Macaca mulatta: one gene and its partners. The protein of the gene in region 1 purifies or fractionates together with the protein of each later gene. This does not show direct contact. Links are inferred from orthologs where the notes say so. Each region holds a gene or a part of one and is shown in the gene's direction. Other genes may lie near its edges.

Region 1 (3,510 bases):
AATCAGAAGACAGCTTCCACAACATCTGTGCCCATCTACTCTGCCTTCTTCTGTTACTCTGGCTGAACTATCCATACTTCTGGCCAAAGGTGTACCTTTCTGCCTGTGCATTATATCCCATCTGCATTATATCCCATCTACTTTTCTGAGCAATTCTCCTCTCTCTCTTGCATCATCAGCTTTAACTTTCTACTGGATCATTCCTAGAACATACGTAGTCTGTATTTGCATTCTCTAGCTTCTCTTTTCCCCTTCTTTCTTGAGCCGACTCCATTCAGACATATTATGCCAGTACTTCAGAATTGTTCTTGTCAAGGTCACTAGTTATCTCTACATCACTACATTTAAGGAATCATTTTCATTTCTCATCTTGACTCTCAGTAGCACTTGATCTAATTCATTACTTTCTCCTTCTTACACACAGCACTTTATTCAGTTGGCCTCTGAGATACCATACTAGCCTAGATTCCATCTTACATCTCTGGCCATCTGTTCTCAGTTTTCTTTGCTGGTTATTCCTCATCTCCCCAACCTAGAAATGTTGAAGTGCCTAGGGCCCAGTCATTTGGCTTCTTCACTTATCTGTCTGCACTCATTTCCTTGGTAACCTCATCCAGTATTGTGGCATTATATACCATCTGCTGGCTCATAATTTTTTCCATCTTATACCTGAACTCTATACTCATATATCCAACTACTTTCTATACATCTACTAGAAACTCAATATTTTCCAAACAGAGTTCCTGATACTTCCTTCAAACTCAATCTTCCTGTAGTCTTTCCCCATCTCAATTAATAGCCCTCAGTTCTTCTACTAGCTCAGGTTAAAAACCTTAAGTTATTCTTGACTATTAGAAGACTATTTAGGCATCTTGGTTCCTTTTTGTGCTAGCCTTAAGTTTTGCTTAAAATGGGTTTGTTTGGATATCTTCATTAGCTTGAAAAGTCTTATTTCTGTTCCTGCCTGGCTAGTTTATAAAAGAATGTAAGTTACATAATACTAAGTGAAGCATTTTTATTATTTCCAACCAGTAGTCATAAATGTTTCTGCTTTTCCTAGGCTCATTCATGGACATTGCTTCTACAAATACGAGTAATAAAAGTGACACTAATATGGAGCAAGTTCCTGCTACAAATGATACTATTAAGCGCTTAGAGTCAAAATTGTTGAAAAATCAGGCAAAGCAACAGGTTTGTTTTGTTATTACAAGTAAAATTGGTAACCTTAACAGTAGTCACAATATTATACTAAATGAAATTAATTATTTACCATCTTCTATTTTATAAATCCTGAATTTTCTTCCTGAAACATATAGAAGAGCTTACAAATAGAGACTTGTAATGAGAGTCTCCTACCATTTATTACCAAATGGTTTTTCCTTCTAATGATTGCTACCTTTGCCAACTCTAACTCCCTATCTATAATAATCCTTAAATGTAATGGTTGATGGTTAAAAATGTAAAACGGATATATTTTGGCTGTGCTGCCCAGTTAGAGGAGTTGTCCTAAGTGTATCATTTCATGCTATTCAGATTTATATTTTTGCCGTTGTTGATTTTTAAAAATATTGTAAGGAGTGAGTTTATTCATTTTGCCTGAGGCATTTAGGTTAATGAATAATTGGGGCTTTTAGCCCCAGTTCTAGTGACTACTCTTTCATAAAAACAGTATCTGCAGCTTGCTTTCCCTTACTGCTGTAGCTCCCTCTCGTGCAAACTTCCCTCTCCTTTCAGAGCAGAACAGGATCCATCAGAATCCTACTTGCCATCTTCCTCCTTTTAGGTTGCCTAAGACTGCTAAATCTAAAGAACTTCAGTAATTCAGATTGACCTGTAATTTTAACAGAGTGAATCTGGACGTTTAAGCTTGGGAGCCTCCCGTGGGAGCAGTGTGGAGAGCTTGCCCCCAACCTCTGAGGGAAAGAGGATGAGTGCTGACATGTCTGAAATAGAAGCTAGGATCGCTGCAACCACAGGTAAAAAGGAACTACAAGTCTGAAGAGTGAAATGTATATAAGCCTTTTTGGCCATGGTAGTTTCAGTTGTCAGAGGTTTTGTGTGTGTGTCTTTTTTTTTTTTTTTTTAAATAGGAAGTAGGTTTACAATATATTTTTCTAAGTTACTAGCAATAATTTTGCATTTATCTCAAATTCCAAATAAGGAAGGTATGACTTGTAAAATTATTTGGATGAGAAAGTATGCCTTCCTCATTTACAGATTTTATCAAATGTAATTCTTTCTGCTCAAACATGAGTTGAAAGTCTGAGTGAGAAATTCTGCCAAAACCGGAATATTTTGGGGATTTTGAGTGATACTACTAGATTTTTGTGCTGAACTCTAATAATAGCAAATATTTTGTTTCAAATTTAACAGAAAAATGTATTCCAGATCCACGTATGATTTGACCTTCTATCTGCTCCTTCATTCCAGTGACAAAATATTAGCTAAGCTGGTTATGGTTAATTTTTTTAATTGTAAAGTAAAAGATCATAATTTTATTGGATCTTGGAAAAGCTAGCATTTAAATTCCATTGTTCAGTTCTTAAAATTATTAATCATGGAAGAACTGGTCAGCACAAAAACAATTACATGTTTTGTTACCTAAGTAAACTGGCAACCTAATTTTCTGACCAGGTTTCATTTTAGTAATGCTGGTTTAGTTTGGACTTCGTTGTTTTTTGCTGATTCCTTCCAGGGATTGGGGGGAGCTGATTTTAAAAGTAAACACATTTCTGTTGTGGAAAATGTGGAAATGTAAACAAGCCAAAAAAACTTACATAATTACCCCACTCAGAGATAAACACTTAACATTTTTGTGTATTTACCCCAGTCTTTTAACTATATATATACGTATAAATGTGTATTTCTATGTGTATTTGCATCTTTTTTAACTTAGCTAACCAATTTTTTAGGTATTTTTTTCACTTATTTGGTTTTTTTCTAAATAGAATATTCTTATTGTGTGTGGAGCTCTTTCAGAAAGAAGTTGTCAAGATGGACCATCATACTATACTTGTCTTCAACTAATCATGATCATTGATTTTTATCAGCTAGTATTAGAATCCATTAGATATAACAGATTTCCAAAATAACAGTGTCTATAACACATAAGCATTATTTTTCAGACATAAACAAGTCTGAAGGTAGTGGGCTCTGTGATCTTGAAGTAACTGGTCTCCTATTTCTGTGCCGTAATCCCTATTGTATAGCTTCCATTCTCAAAGTTATCCTGTGCTCCAAAATGGTTGTTAAAGTTCCCTTTCATCACTTCTACATTCCAGGCAGCAGGAAGGAAGACATGGGGGTAGGGCAAATAGGCATCCAAGTTCTTTGAAGGAACATTCCCAGATGCCTTTCCTAACAATGTCCACACGTCATTGGTCAGAGTAACATGGTCGAATGGCTACACGTAGCTCCAAGGGAAGAGGAGATCTGCCCTCTTTTATCTGATGACTTTTCTGTCCTAAATAAAATCAGAGTACTATTGCTAAAACAGAAGGGAAGAGTAGA
Region 2 (4,265 bases), on another chromosome or scaffold:
GCCTCTGGAGGCATCAGTGAGGGCAGCTATCCTGTGTCACAGGGTTGTGGGAGTCTCGCAGGGAAATTCTCTGTGACTAACGAGTATCGTTTCCCCTAAAGGATGTGCCGTCGGCTGCATTCTTGTTTCATCTAGCCGCTGGGCCCCAGAACAGTTGGCAAAGCAGTTGGTATCTTTGGTTATTTTTAGGTGGGGGAGTTAGCAGGGTGGATGTGGTAGGGCCCCAGGGGACTCTGGTAGATTGGGAGCTTCAGGTGCAACAAGTTTTTGGGGGTGGGGGTGGCAGCGGCTCCCTCTCGGGAATGTTTAGGCAATCTCCCGGAATCCTTCATGATGGAAGTCAAAAGCCACCTCCTCTATGCAGTCTTCCTTGATTTTCTCATAAAACACCCCCACCACCACCCACAAGACCAAAGACTTGGTCTGGAACTATAATCCAGCCTTTAGTTATAGTTCCAGACCAACAGTACTGAGCAATAGGGACCTTACCTGATGCAGATAAGGTTTCTTTTCTACATCTCTGAGGCTCCATCCCTAGTCAGAAGGATAAGGTACGGAAGCCACTCATACAGCTGAGATTCTCTCTTGGCTCGTTTCTAGCAAACTACAAGTAAGTCACTTTTGTAAATCTATTTCCTCATCTGTAAAATGGGCAACTATCGTGCCTGCCTTCCAGGATTAAAGTAAAGGGTTTAATTTGCTCAAAGCACAGCGCACAGCGCCTAACGTAGACTGGTAGATCTGGGCCCCAGGCCCAGAAGGGGCTGTGCTCCCGCAAAGGTCTCTTTCCTTTGCAGCACATCGGGTGGTGTGTGCATCCTGGCGGGGCGGGGGGGACTAAGGGGAGGGGGGTGCCCGAGCTGGGCTGGAAGACAGGTCTGCGACTCTGTTCAACTGCAGCTGCTTTCCCCGGCCTCCACCGCTGCCGCACACCCCCTTTGCCTTTAGCATTTTCCTCCTCTCCTCTAATTGCGTGGCGTCCCCAGATGGAAGATGAGGTGTCGGAGCTGGGGGTGGGGAGTCCCCCGGCCTAAGACTGGGGAAGGGTCCTCCAGCGCCCTGTGAGGGCCCTGACCTACGGTGGGGAGGGGGCGCCCGGGTCTCCGGGAGAACTCCGGAGTCCCCGGAAATGGAGGCGGAGTCTGGGGAGTCTGAAATGGGGGAGGGGTCACGTAGACTACGGGGGAGTCCTGAGCCGGCGAGGAGGAGCAAGGGAGTCCCTCAGACGGAGTGGAGGGCGGGGCTTCCCTGGTCAGAGGGCGGTGCCAGGAGAGGGGCGTGGTCTCATGCGAAGGGGAGGAGCTCCCCCGACGAGGGCTAAGCATCGCCGCAAGAGGCGGAGTCTGGAGTGAGGCGGGGCTCTCCTAGGGGCGGGGACAATGGGGCGGGGCCTCAGGGCAGGGGGCGGAGCGTGGCTCTTCGCGCTCATCCCCCTCCTCCGGCCCCGGGTGTCCCCGTGACGAGGCAGCGCGGAGCCGCCGCGGGCCTGGCCCATCCCGCCGCAGCGGCCCGGGGCCGAACAGGGGCTAGGCGGTGAGGGAGCGGCGCCCAGCGGGTCCCGGAGCGTGGCCAGGTGAGGCCACCGGGGCAGAGGGGGCGGGGGCTGCGCCGGGCGGGTCCCGGCGGGCGCGGGGGGCGTGTTTGCGTGTCTGGGGGTGGCGGAGGGAGTGGGTCCGAGGGCGGGCGCCGGTGGCTACTGCGCGCCCGCGCTTCCCTGCGGTCGCGGGTGCGGGTGGTTTCTGCGCCGTCCGGGCCGGGGGAGTGCGGGGCCGTGCGCGCGCGCGTGTTGTGCGGAGGGGCCGCCGGGTGTGGACCTGCGTAGGTGCTGGGCCGCGGTTCTCGTTCTGCCCAACCGGGGCGCAGGGCGCGGGGCGCGGGGCGCGGGGCGCGGGCCTGCCCCGGCGCGGTCCCTCCAGCGCGAGGATGTTTTCCAAACGGGCTGCCTGCGGGAGACGGCTGTGCTGCAGCCCGAGCTCGAGGGGGGAGCGCCGCCCCCACAAGCCTCCTGAGACCCGGGCGGCTGGGGACGCAGACACCTGAGGGAGGGAGGGAAGAGCGCGCACCCAGGAGTCCATTGGCCTGCCCGCAGGGGGAGGCCGAGATGGGGAGACTGAGGCAGATGGATGGTGAGGCGGAGGCGGGCAGACAGGCAGACAGGCAGAGACGGGGAATAGGGGGAGAGAGACGGCGAAAAGGACAGCGGCTAGGAGGACAGAGAGTCATTGAGAAAGCAGATGGACAGACAGAGGCCTAGACCTCAAAGGGGCAGAAAGATTCAGATGGACAGGTAGATTCAAAGAACCTGTCAGAGGGGCTAAATCAGAGGTCCAGAGGCTAAGAGCCATAACCAGGAACTGAGTCTGAGATGAGGGGTAAGGGCCCCCAACTCATGGGGTGCCCCTCTTTGAAGCACATCCCAGACTGGGATCTTGGCCAAAAAGCAGCCTCTGGCCACCCCAAGTTGGTCCATTCCTCTGGCACCACTGAATATCCTGACCCTCTTGACTGTGCCACCCCTCCCTGGTATCCCAGCAACCTCGGGCAGTTTAGAGGAGGCAGAGGGGAAGTGGTTGCCATAGCAGTAGAGGCGGTGAAAGGTCACCCTTGCCTTAGCCTAGGCGGTCCTGCAGCAGGCTGGAGCTGGGATTGGGTGGGCCTGGGGTGGGAACCTGCAAAGCTCTTTTCTCTCCCACTCTGCCCAGAATGGTGCTGGAAGGAAACCCTGAAGTGGGGTCCCCCCGAACCTCAGACCTTCAGCACCGGGGGAACAAGGGCTCTTGCGTTCTCTCTTCTCCCGGTGAAGATGCGCAGCCAGGCGAGGATCCCATCAAGTATGGTGAACTCATCGTCCTGGGGTGAGCATCTCTGGCCTAGAAGGGGTGAAGCACCAGACACCCACCCAACGCAGCCAGAACAAGGGCCCCGACCCCTCCCTCCCCCACAAAGTGCCTTCTGCTGTTCGTCCCTCCTCACCTTCCTAGCTGAAAGACAAAATTGACCAAACCCACCTCAATTCATAATTATTGTTTTATCTTCCTATTTTTCACAAATTACTGTGACAACTCTAACCACCCAACTTCCTGATCAGATGAGAAAAACGTTAACACCAGCTGCCTTTCCTAAAGCACCTAGTGTGTGTGGTGTGGGTTGAAGAACTCTGGTTCTGCAGTAAAACTGCTAGGTTCAAATCCTGCCTCTGCAAGTTGCTGAACTTCCCTGTGCCTCCGTTTCCCGTTTTGCAAATGGAGATGTTAATAATCCCTTCCTCAGAGAGTTGTCAGAAGGAATGAATGAGGTGATTTCTGTAAAGTACATAGAACAGCGCCCAGCACATATCAAGTGTTCTGGGAGGCAGGCCTGTGCCAAGCCCTTTCATGGACATTATTTCATTTCAATCTTCACAAAGATGCTGTGAGGAAGGAGGTGAGGAAACCGAGGCTCAGAGAGGGGAAGTGACTGGCCCAAGGGCACACAGCTGGTAAGTGGCAGGGCTGGGATTTGGACCCAGGTCTTTCTTACTCTAGGTCTAGTGCACTTTTACTAAGCCACAGCTGACCTGCACACTGCAGATGAGAAAGCCAAGGCCAGGAGAGAGGAAGCAACATGAACTGGCGGCCGGGCCAACCTTATCCCTTCCTGGTCTTCTCCTGACCAGGATCCCTGCACCATCCACTCAGATCTTTCTCCAGGGACAGACCCTCTTCCTCCTCCCCCATCTAGGTCTCCTTTTGGCCTCTCTCTGCCATCAGTCCTAAAGAAACTATTTGATAAGTTATATTATCATTAAGATTATTTTTTTATTATTTTTTTTTATTTTTGAGACGGAGTCTCGCTCTGTTGCCCAGGCTGGAGTGCAGTGGCCGGATCTCAGCTCACTGCAAGCTCCGCCTCCCGTGTTCATGCCATTCTCCTGCCTCAGCCTTCCCGAGTAGCTGGGACTACAGGCGCCCGCCACCTCGCCCGGCTAGTTTTTTGTATTTTTTAGTAGAGACGGGGTTTCACCGTTTTAGCCAGGATGGTCTCGATCTCCTGACCTCGTGATCCACCCATCTCGGCCTCCCAAAGTGCTGGGATTACAGGCTTGAGCCACCGCGCCCGGCCAAGATTATTTTTTTAAAATGGCTGTTTGTTGACACGTGCTTTTTTTACCAAAAAAAAAAAAAAAAAAAGCAGTAATAGCGAACACTTATCAAGGGCTTCCTATAAATATGCCAAACTCTGTGCTAAGCACTTTTAAATGCTTTGTCTCATTTAGTTCTCAAAAT
Region 3 (4,151 bases), on another chromosome or scaffold:
GGGCGCCTGTAATCCGAGCTACTTGGCAGGCTGAGGCAGGGGAATTGCTTGAACCAGGGAGGCGGAGGTTGCAATGAGCTGAGATCGCGCCACTACACTCTAGCCTAGGTGGCAGAGCAAGACTCCCTCTCGAAAAGAAAAAAAACAAAAAAAAGTGTATTAAGCAAGAAAGCACAGAGCATCAGACCATATATTTAGTGCTGAACATTTTATTATAAATGATCAAAAATTTTTAACACACTATCGTTTACAACCTTCCACTATTGTAAAACCTAACATTGCTACTTTCATTTCAGGTAATGCAAAAATACGAGACGCATTAGCTTTCTGTAGGCAGAAATCTGCTCGAGTCATTCCTGATTACTGAAGCCCTAGAATTAATTAAACATCTAGTATGGACTTGGTATTGTATATAACATTTGCACTCATATCTTACAAAATAGTCACCTAAGTAGAAAGGTGTTCAAAGCAGCAAGATGGAAATCGTTTGCAGTCTTTTTTGGTTGGCATGAAACACTGACTGCATTCCTCCCAGATTTATAAGAAAGAATTATTTGCAGTCTTACCTGGAGTCAGAGGGATGGACACTCTCAAGGTTATTTTTCACTCTCTGCATATATATACTTACGGAAGTAAGAAAGAAGAGGGAGAAAGGCAGATCCCACATAACAGCGGTTAAACACCTCAACTTGCTCCACTATGACAGGGTTTATCATCCATCTCTCAGTCCTGAAGTGACTGGAAATATGGAAATTGGAGTCCAGGTAGACAGGTGAGAGTACAACCTCTTAAGTGTGGGGCCCTCGGAATTCACAATACCCCCAAATCGCTTCCTGCGCAGGCGGAGAGTCGGGAGGGAGTCAGAAAGCAGAACCCCGAGCCCCCTAAGAAAGACCCCAGCCGGACGCTGCAGCTACCGGGATTGGCAACTTCCGGAAGACCTGTGGCCCAGAGAATTTTGGCGGTCGGGGTGAGGGTGAGGGTGAGGGTGAGGGTGGGGGGTGGGGGAGGAGTGAGGGGAGGGGTGGGGTGGGGGTGGGGTGGGGGTGGGGGGAGGGGTGGGGTGGGGTGGGGGTGGGGGGAGGGGTGGGGGGAGGGGTGGGGGGAGGGGGTTGGCGGCTAACCAATCCGACACCCGCCAGCAGGCTGAAGAGAGGGGCTTCCCAAAAGCAAAACTTTCCCAAACCTGGGGGATGGGAAGAGAAGACAAAAGGAGCGCCTCTGGCTCCCTTTCCCACTTCCCGGCCGCCCGCCCCAGCCCTCGGCCTCGGCTGCGCGACCCGGGCGGAGGATCCCGGTCGCAGGCCGAGGCGAGAGCCAGGCGGAAGGGCCGCGAGCGGGCTGCCCCTCTCCCCGCCTTGCTGTCCGCAGCTGACGTAGCCTGCGAAGTTTGGGGAGGGAGGAGCTCAGGCGGCCTGAGCTGGTGGCGGCGCGCGCCGGGGAGGGCCGGCCGGGGCGGCGAGAGAGGAAGCTCCTTCGCGGCGCTACGGCGTTGGCACTAGTCTCTAGAAAAGAAGTCAGCTCTGGTTCGGAGAAGCAGCGGCTGGCGTGGGCCGCCCGGGGAATGGGCGCCCTCGTGACCTAGTGTCGCGGGGCAAAAAGGGTCTTGCCGGCCTCGCTAGTGCAGGGGCGGATCTGGGCTCCCGAGCGCGGCGGGGGAGCCTTGGGAGCCGCCGCAGCAGGGGGCACAACTGGAACCGGCCTGAGCGCCCGGGACCATGAACGGGGAGGCCATCTGCAGCGCCCTGCCCACCATTCCCTACCACAAGCTCGCCGACCTGCGCTACCTGAGCCGCGGCGCCTCGGGCACTGTGTCGTCCGCCCGCCACGCAGACTGGCGCGTCCAGGTGGCCGTGAAGCACCTGCACATCCACACCCCTCTGCTCGACAGGTAGGCAGCCAATGGGGTTCCCGGGAAGAGCCCCCAACTATCCTGCATCCCCTCAAGCCCCCTGACAAGCGGGCTCTAGAGCCCAAATGGCAGTGACCGCTTGGGGCCGGCCCCACCTCGTCACCTCTAGGCAGCCCTTCAAGCTTGGGAGGTAGGGAGCACCGACCCTTCAAGCTCTGGCACGGTAGGGAGCACGCACTTCTCTGGAGATGCAGCAGTTGCATTCCTCCACGCATCTCTCCATTTCCCTTTCTCTCCTTCCCTCTTACTCCTAAGCGTTCTCTCTCCGTACTCCAAAAATCAGCAATCACTGCCAAACTCTAAACGCCGGGTTTATTGAAATTGGTGTGTGTTTATATGGAGTGGGTGTGGGTTTTGCTTGCTTTGTTTTTTCCTTATTTTTGAAATCGGGCTGTAGGGCTGCAGTGTCCAGTAGGCAGCCCTTAGCCACAGGTGAGTACTGAGCACTTGAAATGTGCCCGTCCGAATTGAAATGTGACCTAAGTGTAAAATACCAGAGTTCGAATGCTTAGTATTTATTTTTAAAAACTTGTAATATTTTATTAATATTTGTTTATTGATTATATGCTGAAATGATAATATTTTTGATATCTTGGGTTAAATATAAGATTAAAATTCATTTTAATGTGTTTCTTTTTACTTTATGTGGCCATGAGAAAATTTTAAATTGTATGTGGTAGATTTCACATTCTATGTTTATTGGACAGAGCTGCTTTAGAATCTACGATGTTTTGCTTTTTATTGCTTTTGTTTTGGTTGTGGTTTATTATGTGTTATCAGGAACGTTTTATATCAAACTCAATACAATTCAGTTTCTCCCACTCTCAGTTTCTCTCACGGGAAGATCGTTAAGTAGAGGAAATGTGTGCTATTTTTGCCACAGTAAATTGAACCAAAAGACTGTTAAATGGCCAGAAATTGTAAATGGCTTTCACTTACTGGTTTGTACAGGTTTTAAGGGAAGGTTAACATTAGTTTCTGTTTTCAGAAGAACATTACAACCACGTGCCATAGACCTGTAACTGTGTATTAGTCAATGGGTCTGGTCACTAGTCTTGTGTATTTTACTTCCTACAGGGATTTAACTAGGCCCAGCATTCAGTTCTTAGTGAGTTAACATCCATGATTACAACATTCTCTTCTCCTCCTCCTATATCTAATGTGAAAATACGTCATCACAGACGCCTGATTGGCCAGAAGCTGTATCCAATATCAGATAAATTCCTCAGCTTCTGCCCTGCCAAAGTTACTGGATTTTCACCTACCTGTGACTTTTCTTCATTGTCTCACTGTCAGGCTTGGATGGCCTAAATGGCACAGGAGATCTGGGACACCTCTAGAGCTTGTTTCCACTTCTTTTCTATCATAATCCAGATTCAGTGATATACAAGGTGTGGTGTCTGTTTACTCTGGGCCTTATGTTCTGTGGCGCAAGTGCTGGGCAAGTGTGTATATGTGTCTGTAGTCAACTTTTAAGGGTGGTGGTTGGTTAGAGAGGATGGATATATGTTAGAACCAGTTATGCAAACACTGTATGGAAATATAGCACTGATGGACCCAATAGGTATTGAAAAGCCAATTGATCCTCCCACTTTGGGTGCTGCTTCTCAGGATTTTAGTTTATCTAAGCTTTGTACAGTTTGGGGACCAAGAAGTGAAGAGGGAGTTTCTTTCCCATGCTCATGAACAATTTTCATAGTCTAAAATTCTTCACTGAATTGGGTAGGAAATTAATTCTGTCTTCGAGGAAGCCATAAGACCAGTGAAACACTCTGGCATTACTGCATCACATTCTTTTTTCCAATTTGTTACTTAAGATCTTATCAGTGCAGTATTTATGTAGTCTGAGCATTAGACAAGGCTATGCAGTTGACTCACTGGTGTCTCTTTCCTCACTTATAAAATAGGAATAATAAATACATGTGTGTCTCGGGCTATGGAGAAGAATGTTTGCATTGTTCTTTGGGATGACCTGAAAGAAAAATTTATGCAATGTTACATGCCCTTATTTTAATGATTGGTGAATCAGTCTCCATAATCTGACTTCTGTCCGATGAGTGGACCTTCCCCAACAATCTTCCCACCCCTTATGAGTAATGAGTCCAATTGGTTGTTCAAATACCCTGTAGATGACGTAACTTTTTTATTAAATTTTTGAGTTAATTTTGGTGATGTGACTATAGAAGCTGTATTTTACGCCTTTATTTTCAAAATATAAAAATCAATTTTTACAATCTCT
Region 4 (4,022 bases), on another chromosome or scaffold:
TTTGCCCAAAGGGGGCCCCCTTGTTACTTAGACTTCCTTGGCTCTCAGGAGCAGCCTCACCAGGTTGGTAAGGAGCTGGAGGAGACAACTGCTCAAAGGAGTCCAGCTTCACATGCACATACTAGAAGGTACCCTCTAAAGGCCGGGCCTTGAAAGGTAGATCCCAGGATTGAAAAGTCAACTTGTATGCATTGAGCATCTCGTGCACCAGCCCTGTTCCAGAAGCTGTTGGGCCTTTGTGTGTAAGCAGGACAAGTCCCCCCGTGGAGGTTAGCATGGGTGTGCATAGTCATTTCACATTCTTGAGTTGGTACATCTCAGTAAAGTCTATCCCGTGAGAAGCCATGGGTTTCATGGTATGGTTGGCATCTTCCTTAGGAGTGGCCACAGTGGTGGTGGCTTCTGGGAAGAGACTCCAACAGGGGCCAGCTGTGGGCCTTGGCAGATCTCGTTTCTAGGAAAAGTTCTAAGTCTGTAGGGCTAGGGGTGGGGAACCCCTTCCCTGTCAGGATCAAGAGGGCAAGGGGAACTGTCGCTGGGAGAGACATCCAGCTGGAGAAACTTTAAAAAGAGTAAGTCTGCGTTGCTGCTTGTGGGGTCTTCCCCATCTCAGGGCGGGGACCGGGGGTGGCGGTCCAGACAAGTGCTCAAGGACGATGCCCAGGAGGGGACAGGAGCTCTGCCGGCGGGCTCAGGAAGCCTTCACAACTGCTTGAGCTCACCCTTGCCAAACGAGGGCTGGGGCAGCAGCAACGCGTACACTCACGGCTGTGGGGGCCAGCGTTCTTGGCACATTTCAGGACACCCAAGGAGTCTGAATGGCTCAAGGCTGCTGCTCTGTGCAGGGGGCTAGACGTGGGGCGGACCGGCAGGGCTCCTGGTAACAGCCCTGTAGGCCGCAGTGGAGAGCAGGGCTCCCGCCGGGCCGCCCAGGAGCTTTCGGCAGGCCCGGCCCCGGCCCCTTTCCGAGCAGCCCGGGCCTCCGCCCTGCCCTCGGTCCCCAACGCCGGGAGCTGCCGTTCGTCCTCCAGAGCCCCGCCCGGGCGAGCCCGGGAGGCCGACCGCCGCGCGCGAAACGCGCCGGGACCCGCACCCTCCCCGACGCGGGGCGCCCCCGTGTGGCCGAGCGCGCGGCCGCGGCGCGCAAGATGGCGGCGAGCCCGGGCACCGCCCCTTCCGCCCCGCCGGGTGTCGCACGAGGCCGGCTCGAAGGGGAAGTGAGTCAGTGTCCGCGGACCCGGCCGGCCCAGGCCCGTGCCCGCCGCGGCCTTGAGAGGCCCCGACAGGCCCCGGCCCGGCGGCGGCGGCGGCGGCGGCGGCCATGGCCGGGGGGCCGGGCCCGGGAGAGCCCGCAGCCCCCGGCGCCCAGCACTTCTTGTACGAGGTGCCGCCCTGGGTCATGTGCCGCTTCTACAAAGTGATGGACGCCCTGGAGCCCGCCGACTGGTGCCAGTTCGGTGGGTGGCGGCTGGCGGCCGGGGGGCGGAGGGCGGGGGGCGCGCGGGCTCCCGGCGCCGACGCCTGACGCCCCCTGCTCCGCAGCCGCCCTGATCGTGCGCGACCAGACTGAGCTGCGGCTGTGCGAGCGCTCCGGGCAGCGCACGGCCAGCGTTCTGTGGCCCTGGATCAACCGCAACGCCCGTGTGGCCGACCTGGTGCACATCCTCACGCACCTGCAGCTGCTCCGCGCGCGGGACATCATCACAGCCTGTGAGCGCGGGACTCCGGGCACCCCACGGCCGGGAGGCCGGCGGGCCCCACGGGGCTCCCCGACCCGGGCCTCAACCTTCCTTTCCTTCCTTGACGTCCCAGGGCACCCTCCCGCCCCGCTTCCGTCCCCAAGCACCACTGCCCCGAGGCCCAGCAGCATCCCTGCACCCGCCGAGGCCGAGGCCTGGAGCCCCCGGAAGTTGCCATCCTCAGCCTCCACCCTCCTCTCCCCAGGTAAGAGGGCCCGGTTGTTGGGCTCGGTGGACCCAAAGAAGGGCCCACCTTGACCATGGCCACGGCTGTAGACCCTGCTGCTGGTCTCTGCCTGCCTCTCACTGGTGTCTTTATGAAGCTTTTCCAGGCTCCCAGACCCATTCAGGGCCTGAGCTCGGCCTGGTCCCAAGCCCTGCTTCCCTGCGGCCTCCACCGCCATCTCCAGCCCCTTCCTCTACCAAGGTAGGTGTCTCCTGTCCCCTAGGGAAGATTCGAGACAAGGAGGAAGGAATTCAGCCTTTGGTGTACCACAGAGCCGCAGTCAGCCAAGCTGGGTCAGCTGGGAGGCAGCTGTGGTGGGGACAGCCTGGAGCCTTCGGCAGAAGGGAGGAGACAGGGACCCCACCTGATCCAGGCTCTCTTTCCACAGCCAGGCCCAGAGAGCTCGGTGTCCCTCCTGCAGGGAGCCCACCCCTCTCCATTTTGCTGGCCCCTCTGTGAGATTTCCCAGGGCACCCACAACTTCTCAGAGGAGCTCAAGATCGGGGAGGGTGGCTTTGGGTGCGTGTACCGGGCAGTGATGAGGAACACGGTGTATGCTGTGAAGAGGCTGAAGGAGGTGAGTGTCGCACCCTGGCAGGGACCCTGGAAGGCCATCAGACAACCCTCACTCACTTCTCCAGCCTTTCCCCCTCGCTTCCCCCACACAACTCCTTCAGCCCTCATTCCGGCGCAGGGTCCCTGGCCCCTTGGTTGTTCTGGGCCTCAGGCACGTGGCACTGGTGGCCCAAAGGCCTTCGGTTCGAGAGCCTCACCCTGCCCGTCTTCCCTGCCCCTTCCCCCACCGCACCCTGGGGGCTGCAGGACGCTGACCTGGAGTGGACTGCAGTGAAGCAGAGCTTCCTGACCGAGGTGGAGCAGCTGTCCAGGTGAGGCCAGATGGGGAGCCACACCAGGTCCCGTGGGGCTTCAGACCACACACTACACGACCTGGCTCCCTTGGGCGCCTGAGGCCTGCCAGGCCCAGGCAAGCTGAGGCCCCAGCCAGGGCTGCCCACCCAGTCTGGCCTGATGGAAAGTGCTCCCCTTTTTCAAACAGGTTTCGTCACCCAAACATTGTGGACTTTGCTGGCTACTGTGCTCAGAACGGCTTCTACTGCCTCGTGTACGGCTTCCTGCCCAACGGCTCCCTGGAGGACCGGCTCCACTGCCAGGTAGGCTCACCTGGCCCGGCTCGCTTCCGAGGACCCAAAGCACTCCTGACACCTGGCTGGAGCCGGTCGCGGGGCCTGGGGCTTTTAGCCTGTGTGAGCGGGTCCTGCTAGCAGGCCAGGCCTGCACTTCCAGCTCCCCAGCAGCACCCCGCTCAGGATTTGGCCCATGGTGGGGTCACTTTTTTTTGAGGTGGAGTCTTTCTCTGTCACCCAGGCTGCAGTGCAGTGGTGTGATCTCAGCTCACCACAACCTCCACCCTCCGGGTTCAAGCAATCTTCCTGCCTCAGCCTCCCGAGTAGCTGGGACCACAGGCACACGCCACCATACTTGCCTAATTTTTGTATTTTTAGTAGAGATGAGGTTTTGCCATGTTAGCCAGGCTGGTCTCAAACTCCTGACCTCAAGTGGTCTGCCCACCTCAGCCTCCCAAAGTGCTGGAATTACAGGTGTGAGCTACCGTGCCTGGCCTGGCCCACTGTTTTCTATAGAGCTCTTCCCCAGGCCCCTCCCCTTTGCAAGCGGAGTAGCTGGAGGGTCTCATCAGCAAGCCCCGGAGGCAAGGGGGTCTGGGGCTACCAGCTGGACCAGCCAGCGCTGACGGAGGACCCCCTTGCCTCCTCCGGCATACTGTGTTTGGGGAGAGTGGGAAGAATGCCTTCAAGGACTTCCCGACCACCCAGGGACAAAGGGATGAGCCCTGGGAGCCTATGCCCAGCAGATTCTATTGAACATGTCCCCAGCCACTGCCCAGCCTTGAATGCTTTGACAAGCAGCCAGAGTAGCTTAACAAGTGCAGGTCACGGAGACTTTGCTCCTCGTTTTCCAGAAGGGGGAAACTGAAGCCTAGAGAGTGAAGTGGCTGTTCCAGGCTGCACGGTGACAGA
Region 5 (4,059 bases), on another chromosome or scaffold:
TTGCCTACCCATAGCTTAGCTCTCGCTTTTAAGTAAGAACATGGAGTATTTGGTTTTCCACTCCTGAGTTACTTCACTTTAGATAATGGCCTCCAGTTCCATCCAAGTGCAAGTTACTGCAAAAGACTTTATTTCGTTCTTTTTCATGGCTGAGTAGTATTCCATGGTGTGTGTATGTGTGTGTGTGTGTGTGTGTGTGTGTGTGTGTGTGTGTGTGTGTGTGTGTGTTTGTGTGTATCACATTTTCTTTCATCCAGATTTTTGAGTCCACAATCCCTGTAAACCCTTGGGACCATCCCACCCACGACGCTGGCCATTTGGGGTAAATTATCAAAATGCTGACATCCAGCCGGACACGGTGGCTCACACCTGTAGTCCCAGCACTTTGGGAGGCTGAGGTGGGCAGATCACTTGAGGTCAGGAGTTCGAGGCCAGCCAGGCCATCATGTTGAAACCCCATTTCTACTAAAAATACAAACATTAGATAGGTTTGGTGGCGCACGCCTGTAGTCCCAGCTACTTGGGAGGCTGAGGTGGGAGAATTGCTTGAACCCAGGAGGTGGAGCTTGCAGTGAGCTGAGATCGCACCACTGCATTCCAGCCTGGGTGACACAGCAAGACTCCGTCTCAAAAAATAAAAATAAAGTAAAATGATGACATCCAAATCACAATTTCTCTCACAAGCATAGTTCACCAGAACGTTGAGGGTGCAAGCTGATGATGGATATCTTGGACCCCAAAGCTTTTGGGGTGAGGAAGGCCTTTGCAGGGGTGCTGACCAGCCAGCATGCCCAGGAAGCTTCCAGAACAGGGGCTGAGGGAGGAAAGAGGCTTGGGGTGTAGGAGGCTGCAGAATTTTATGTGGGACACCCCGTTCTCCCGCGCACACACACATTGCAGTGACAGGCTCTGGAATTTCTTGAGAAATTCGGCTAGACCTGGGGAGCCAAAGGCCTGAAGAACCTAGAAAGGGGATAGCCCCTTCCAAGGCCCCACCTGGACTCTGCCTGGGGTCACAGCTGGGTGGGGACTGACAACCAGGCTGGTCCAGCCTCACCCCGACTGATGCAGGTGGCCTGGACCCCGAGACTCGCCTTGGTCTCCCCATCCCCGGCTCCCTGATCTGTCCCCAAGCACCCCCACCCCAGGCCCTGTCCCCACTCCCACCCCCACCTCCTTACCGCCCTCCTCCCGAAGCACCGACTCCGCCCCCTCCCTCTCTTCCTTATCTTTTTCTAACCTTTCGCATTTTTTAGTCTCATTTCCTGTCGGGTTTTGCATTTCCCTCCCCCGCCCCTCCTAGCCTATGACATACTTTCTCTCCTTTTTTCTCTCCTGCCTCCTCTGGCCTTCGGACTCCTGCCCGCGCCGCCCGCAGCCCCCTCCTGGCCCTGCAGCCCCTGGGCGGGCAGCGCCCCTCGGAGGACGGGTCCGGGCCCGCGGGGACGGAGGGCCCGGTCGCCTGGAGGAAGCCGGAGGCCTGCGTGGAGGAGGCGCCCCGCGCAGCTGGCGGAGCATGAGCGCCCCAGGTAGGCGCAGCCGGGATGGGGGAGCTGGTGGAGGGGGAGCACGAGGCGGGGAGCTGGGGAAAGAGAGGAGGACATGGGGAGGAGATGGGGGGCATTAGTGAGATGACATGGTAGTGGGGCGTGGGGGGGATGGGAGTGGCTCCTGCTGGCCCCGCGATGATGGGGGTATCCTTCCATCTCTGTCCCCCTGCCCCACTTCTCTCTCTCACTCTTATCTCCTCCTTTTCCCTTCCAACCCTTTTTCTCCCTCACTTTCCACCTCGTGTACCTCTCCTCCGTGTCTCTCTGAGCCTCTCTGAGTATCTCTGCCCAGCAAAACCCCCACCTCCTCCTACTGGACAGGAAAAAATCGGGGGTCAGGAGGCTGCAGCCCCTTGGTGCACCTGCCCAGAGGGAGGAAGAGAAACTTTTCTGACACCTGAAGGGCCCGGAAGTTTGCAGACCACAGCCCAGCCTGACTCAGAGGCTCCTGGGAAGGTGGGGCCTGGCTCAGGGAGGAAGGGCAGCCCCACCAAAAGAGGGTATGGAGCTGGGAGATGGGAGAGGACAGCCTCCCGCAGGGACTCTGCTAGAAAGGGAGTGGTGGGGGCACAGGAGGGGGCCCAGGTTCCCCACTGAAACCCGGACCAGTCCCCAGCGGCCTCAGGCCTGAAAGCCACCCACCCCCAGGAGGCCGCTCCAGGCCCGATGGGGCCACCAGGCCTTCTGCTGAGCCCCCTCTGAAGATAGGGGCAGAGAGGGTGTTTCTGTCCCTCGGGGGCTCTGAGCACCGCTGGAGGCTGTCACAGGGACCCAGGTTCATGGACAGTGGTCTCAGCTGTGAGCTTCAGGGCTGCCCACACAAACTCCGTCTTGGACCAAACTGACCTCTGTCTGTCCCGCCTGCTCTCAAAGCCTTTGATTTGTAGTTCAAAAATGTTTCTCCTGACGTTTATGACTCGTCTTGAAGGTATAAGGTTACCAACCTGCCAGAAAGGGGAGAGAAACAGTCGATCGTTCATTCCACGTTTATTAAGTGCTCAGCATGTGCATAATATGTGCCAGAAATCCCAGGAGCCAGGAATTAATATGAGGACAGGAATTTCTCCGTCAGTGTACGTTTTTGTGCTTAATATGAGGACAGGAATCCATTAAGTGTCCATTTCTGTGCTTTCGCGGAACCTCCCGTTCTTTCCCCAGCGAGGCATCTGTAAAGAGATGATACTCCTGCCTCCGGCCGGGGCTGCCCTGAGGACAGTAACAGTGACCGGGACTCTGAAGCATAGCCAAGGCCAGGGACTGCTTGGACCCGTGTAGATGTTACTTGCCTGGGTATCAGATAGGCAGGCCGTGGCTCCCCTGGCCCCAGCAGTCTTCAGTTAATGCATGAATGGTCCTTGATGTGATTTTTTTAAAAATCGTGGTGAAATACACATGACATAAAAGTAGCTCACTGAACCGCTTTGAAGCGCACAGTGGACTGGCGTTAAGCCCATTTGCATTGTCTTGCAGTGGTCACCACCGTCCAGCTCTTCCCAAACTGAAACTGTGTCCCCCATTAAAGAACATCTTCCTGGCTCCCTCCTCAGTCCCTGGCAGTCACACTTCTCCATTCTGTCTCTAGAAATCTGATGATTTTCCGGACCCCGTATAAGGGGGCTCATACAACCTGTGTCCTTCCCGTGCCTGGCTTATTTCTCTGAGCCTCATGTCCTCAAGGTTCGTCTGTGTTGTCACCTGTGACCGAATCTCCTTCCTTTTTCAGGATGAATAATATTCTGTCGTGTAGATAGACCATATTTCGTATATCTGCTCATCCTTTATGTGATTTTTAAAAATGACTTCTGGCCGGGCGCAGTGGCTCACGCCTGTAATCCCAGCACTTTGGGAGGCCAAGGCGGGTGGATCACCTGAGGTCAGGAGTTCGAGACCAGCCTGGCCAAAGTGGTGAAACACGATCTCTACTAAAAATACACACAAAAAATTAGCCTGACGTGGTGGTGCATGCCTGTAGTCCCAGCTACTTAGGTGGCTGAGGCAGGAGAATCGCTTTGAACTGGGGAGGCGGAGGTTGCAGAGAGCTGAGATCGCACCACTGCACTCCAGCCTGGGCGACAGAGCAAGACGCTGTCTCAAAAAAAAGACTTCTAAACCTAAGTCTTCTAAAGATGACGACGCTTGTTTGAATCCATCAGTGGGTGTGTGTGGGTGGCTTTGTACTTGGTGGCACAGGGGACGCAGGAGGGATGTGAGAAGCAGTGCTCCAACCTGAGTAGGTTCATCACACAGTCTGTGTATGCCGTGGTCAGAGTGTGGCTGAGACGCACATGAGATGGAAAAGAATTAGGAGGAGTGGGGAGGGAAGCAGGGAGTGAACTTGGGAGATGGTAGGACTCAGAAGGTCCAGGGATCCCTGGAAGGTTCCAGGCTGAGATGGTGCTGAAAATCTCAGGGAGGAAGGGCAATCCCCCCGAAAGGGGGTGCAGAGTTGGGAGATGGGACAGGACAGCCCCCTGTGGACACTGTACTAGGAAAGGGGTGGCAGGGTCAC

The links. Proteins that work in one complex are often made in the same cells at the same time.
Region 2: the proteins of MAP3K7 (region 1) and PELI3 purify together in Homo sapiens (affinity purification with western blotting; 3 studies listed by BioGRID and IntAct, with this or other methods). This does not show direct contact. The link is inferred for Macaca mulatta from reciprocal best matches to the Homo sapiens genes MAP3K7 and PELI3.
Region 3: the proteins of MAP3K7 (region 1) and RIPK2 purify together in Homo sapiens (affinity purification with western blotting; 4 studies listed by BioGRID). This does not show direct contact. The link is inferred for Macaca mulatta from reciprocal best matches to the Homo sapiens genes MAP3K7 and RIPK2.
Region 4: the proteins of MAP3K7 (region 1) and IRAK1 purify together in Homo sapiens (affinity purification with western blotting; 5 studies listed by BioGRID). This does not show direct contact. The link is inferred for Macaca mulatta from reciprocal best matches to the Homo sapiens genes MAP3K7 and IRAK1.
Region 5: the proteins of MAP3K7 (region 1) and CARD11 purify together in Homo sapiens (affinity purification with western blotting; 3 studies listed by BioGRID). This does not show direct contact. The link is inferred for Macaca mulatta from reciprocal best matches to the Homo sapiens genes MAP3K7 and CARD11.

What each region holds. Positions count from the first base shown.
Region 1 is NC_133409.1:95,420,011-95,423,520, forward strand, and holds part of MAP3K7 (mitogen-activated protein kinase kinase kinase 7), read left to right. Parts: intron 1-1,060; coding exon 1,061-1,191; intron 1,192-1,846; coding exon 1,847-1,976; intron 1,977-3,510. UniProt on the Homo sapiens protein: Serine/threonine kinase which acts as an essential component of the MAP kinase signal transduction pathway. Plays an important role in the cascades of cellular responses evoked by changes in the environment.
Region 2 is NC_133419.1:7,948,689-7,952,953, reverse strand, and holds the start of PELI3 (E3 ubiquitin-protein ligase pellino homolog 3), read left to right. Parts: upstream 1-1,458; 5' UTR 1,459-1,573; intron 1,574-2,702; 5' UTR 2,703-2,703; coding exon 2,704-2,855; intron 2,856-3,406; coding exon of another isoform or gene 3,407-3,478; intron 3,479-4,265. UniProt on the Homo sapiens protein: E3 ubiquitin ligase catalyzing the covalent attachment of ubiquitin moieties onto substrate proteins. Involved in the TLR and IL-1 signaling pathways via interaction with the complex containing IRAK kinases and TRAF6.
Region 3 is NC_133413.1:100,214,697-100,218,847, forward strand, and holds the start of RIPK2 (receptor-interacting serine/threonine-protein kinase 2), read left to right. Parts: upstream 1-1,344; 5' UTR 1,345-1,718; coding exon 1,719-1,891; intron 1,892-4,151.
Region 4 is NC_133426.1:160,268,557-160,272,578, reverse strand, and holds the start of IRAK1 (interleukin-1 receptor-associated kinase 1), read left to right. Parts: upstream 1-1,215; 5' UTR 1,216-1,321; coding exon 1,322-1,457; intron 1,458-1,542; coding exon 1,543-1,710; intron 1,711-1,812; coding exon 1,813-1,944; intron 1,945-2,062; coding exon 2,063-2,166; intron 2,167-2,353; coding exon 2,354-2,542; intron 2,543-2,787; coding exon 2,788-2,852; intron 2,853-3,022; coding exon 3,023-3,137; intron 3,138-4,022.
Region 5 is NC_133408.1:37,050,939-37,054,997, reverse strand, and holds the start of CARD11 (caspase recruitment domain-containing protein 11), read left to right. Parts: upstream 1-1,252; 5' UTR 1,253-1,529; intron 1,530-4,059. UniProt on the Homo sapiens protein: Adapter protein that plays a key role in adaptive immune response by transducing the activation of NF-kappa-B downstream of T-cell receptor (TCR) and B-cell receptor (BCR) engagement.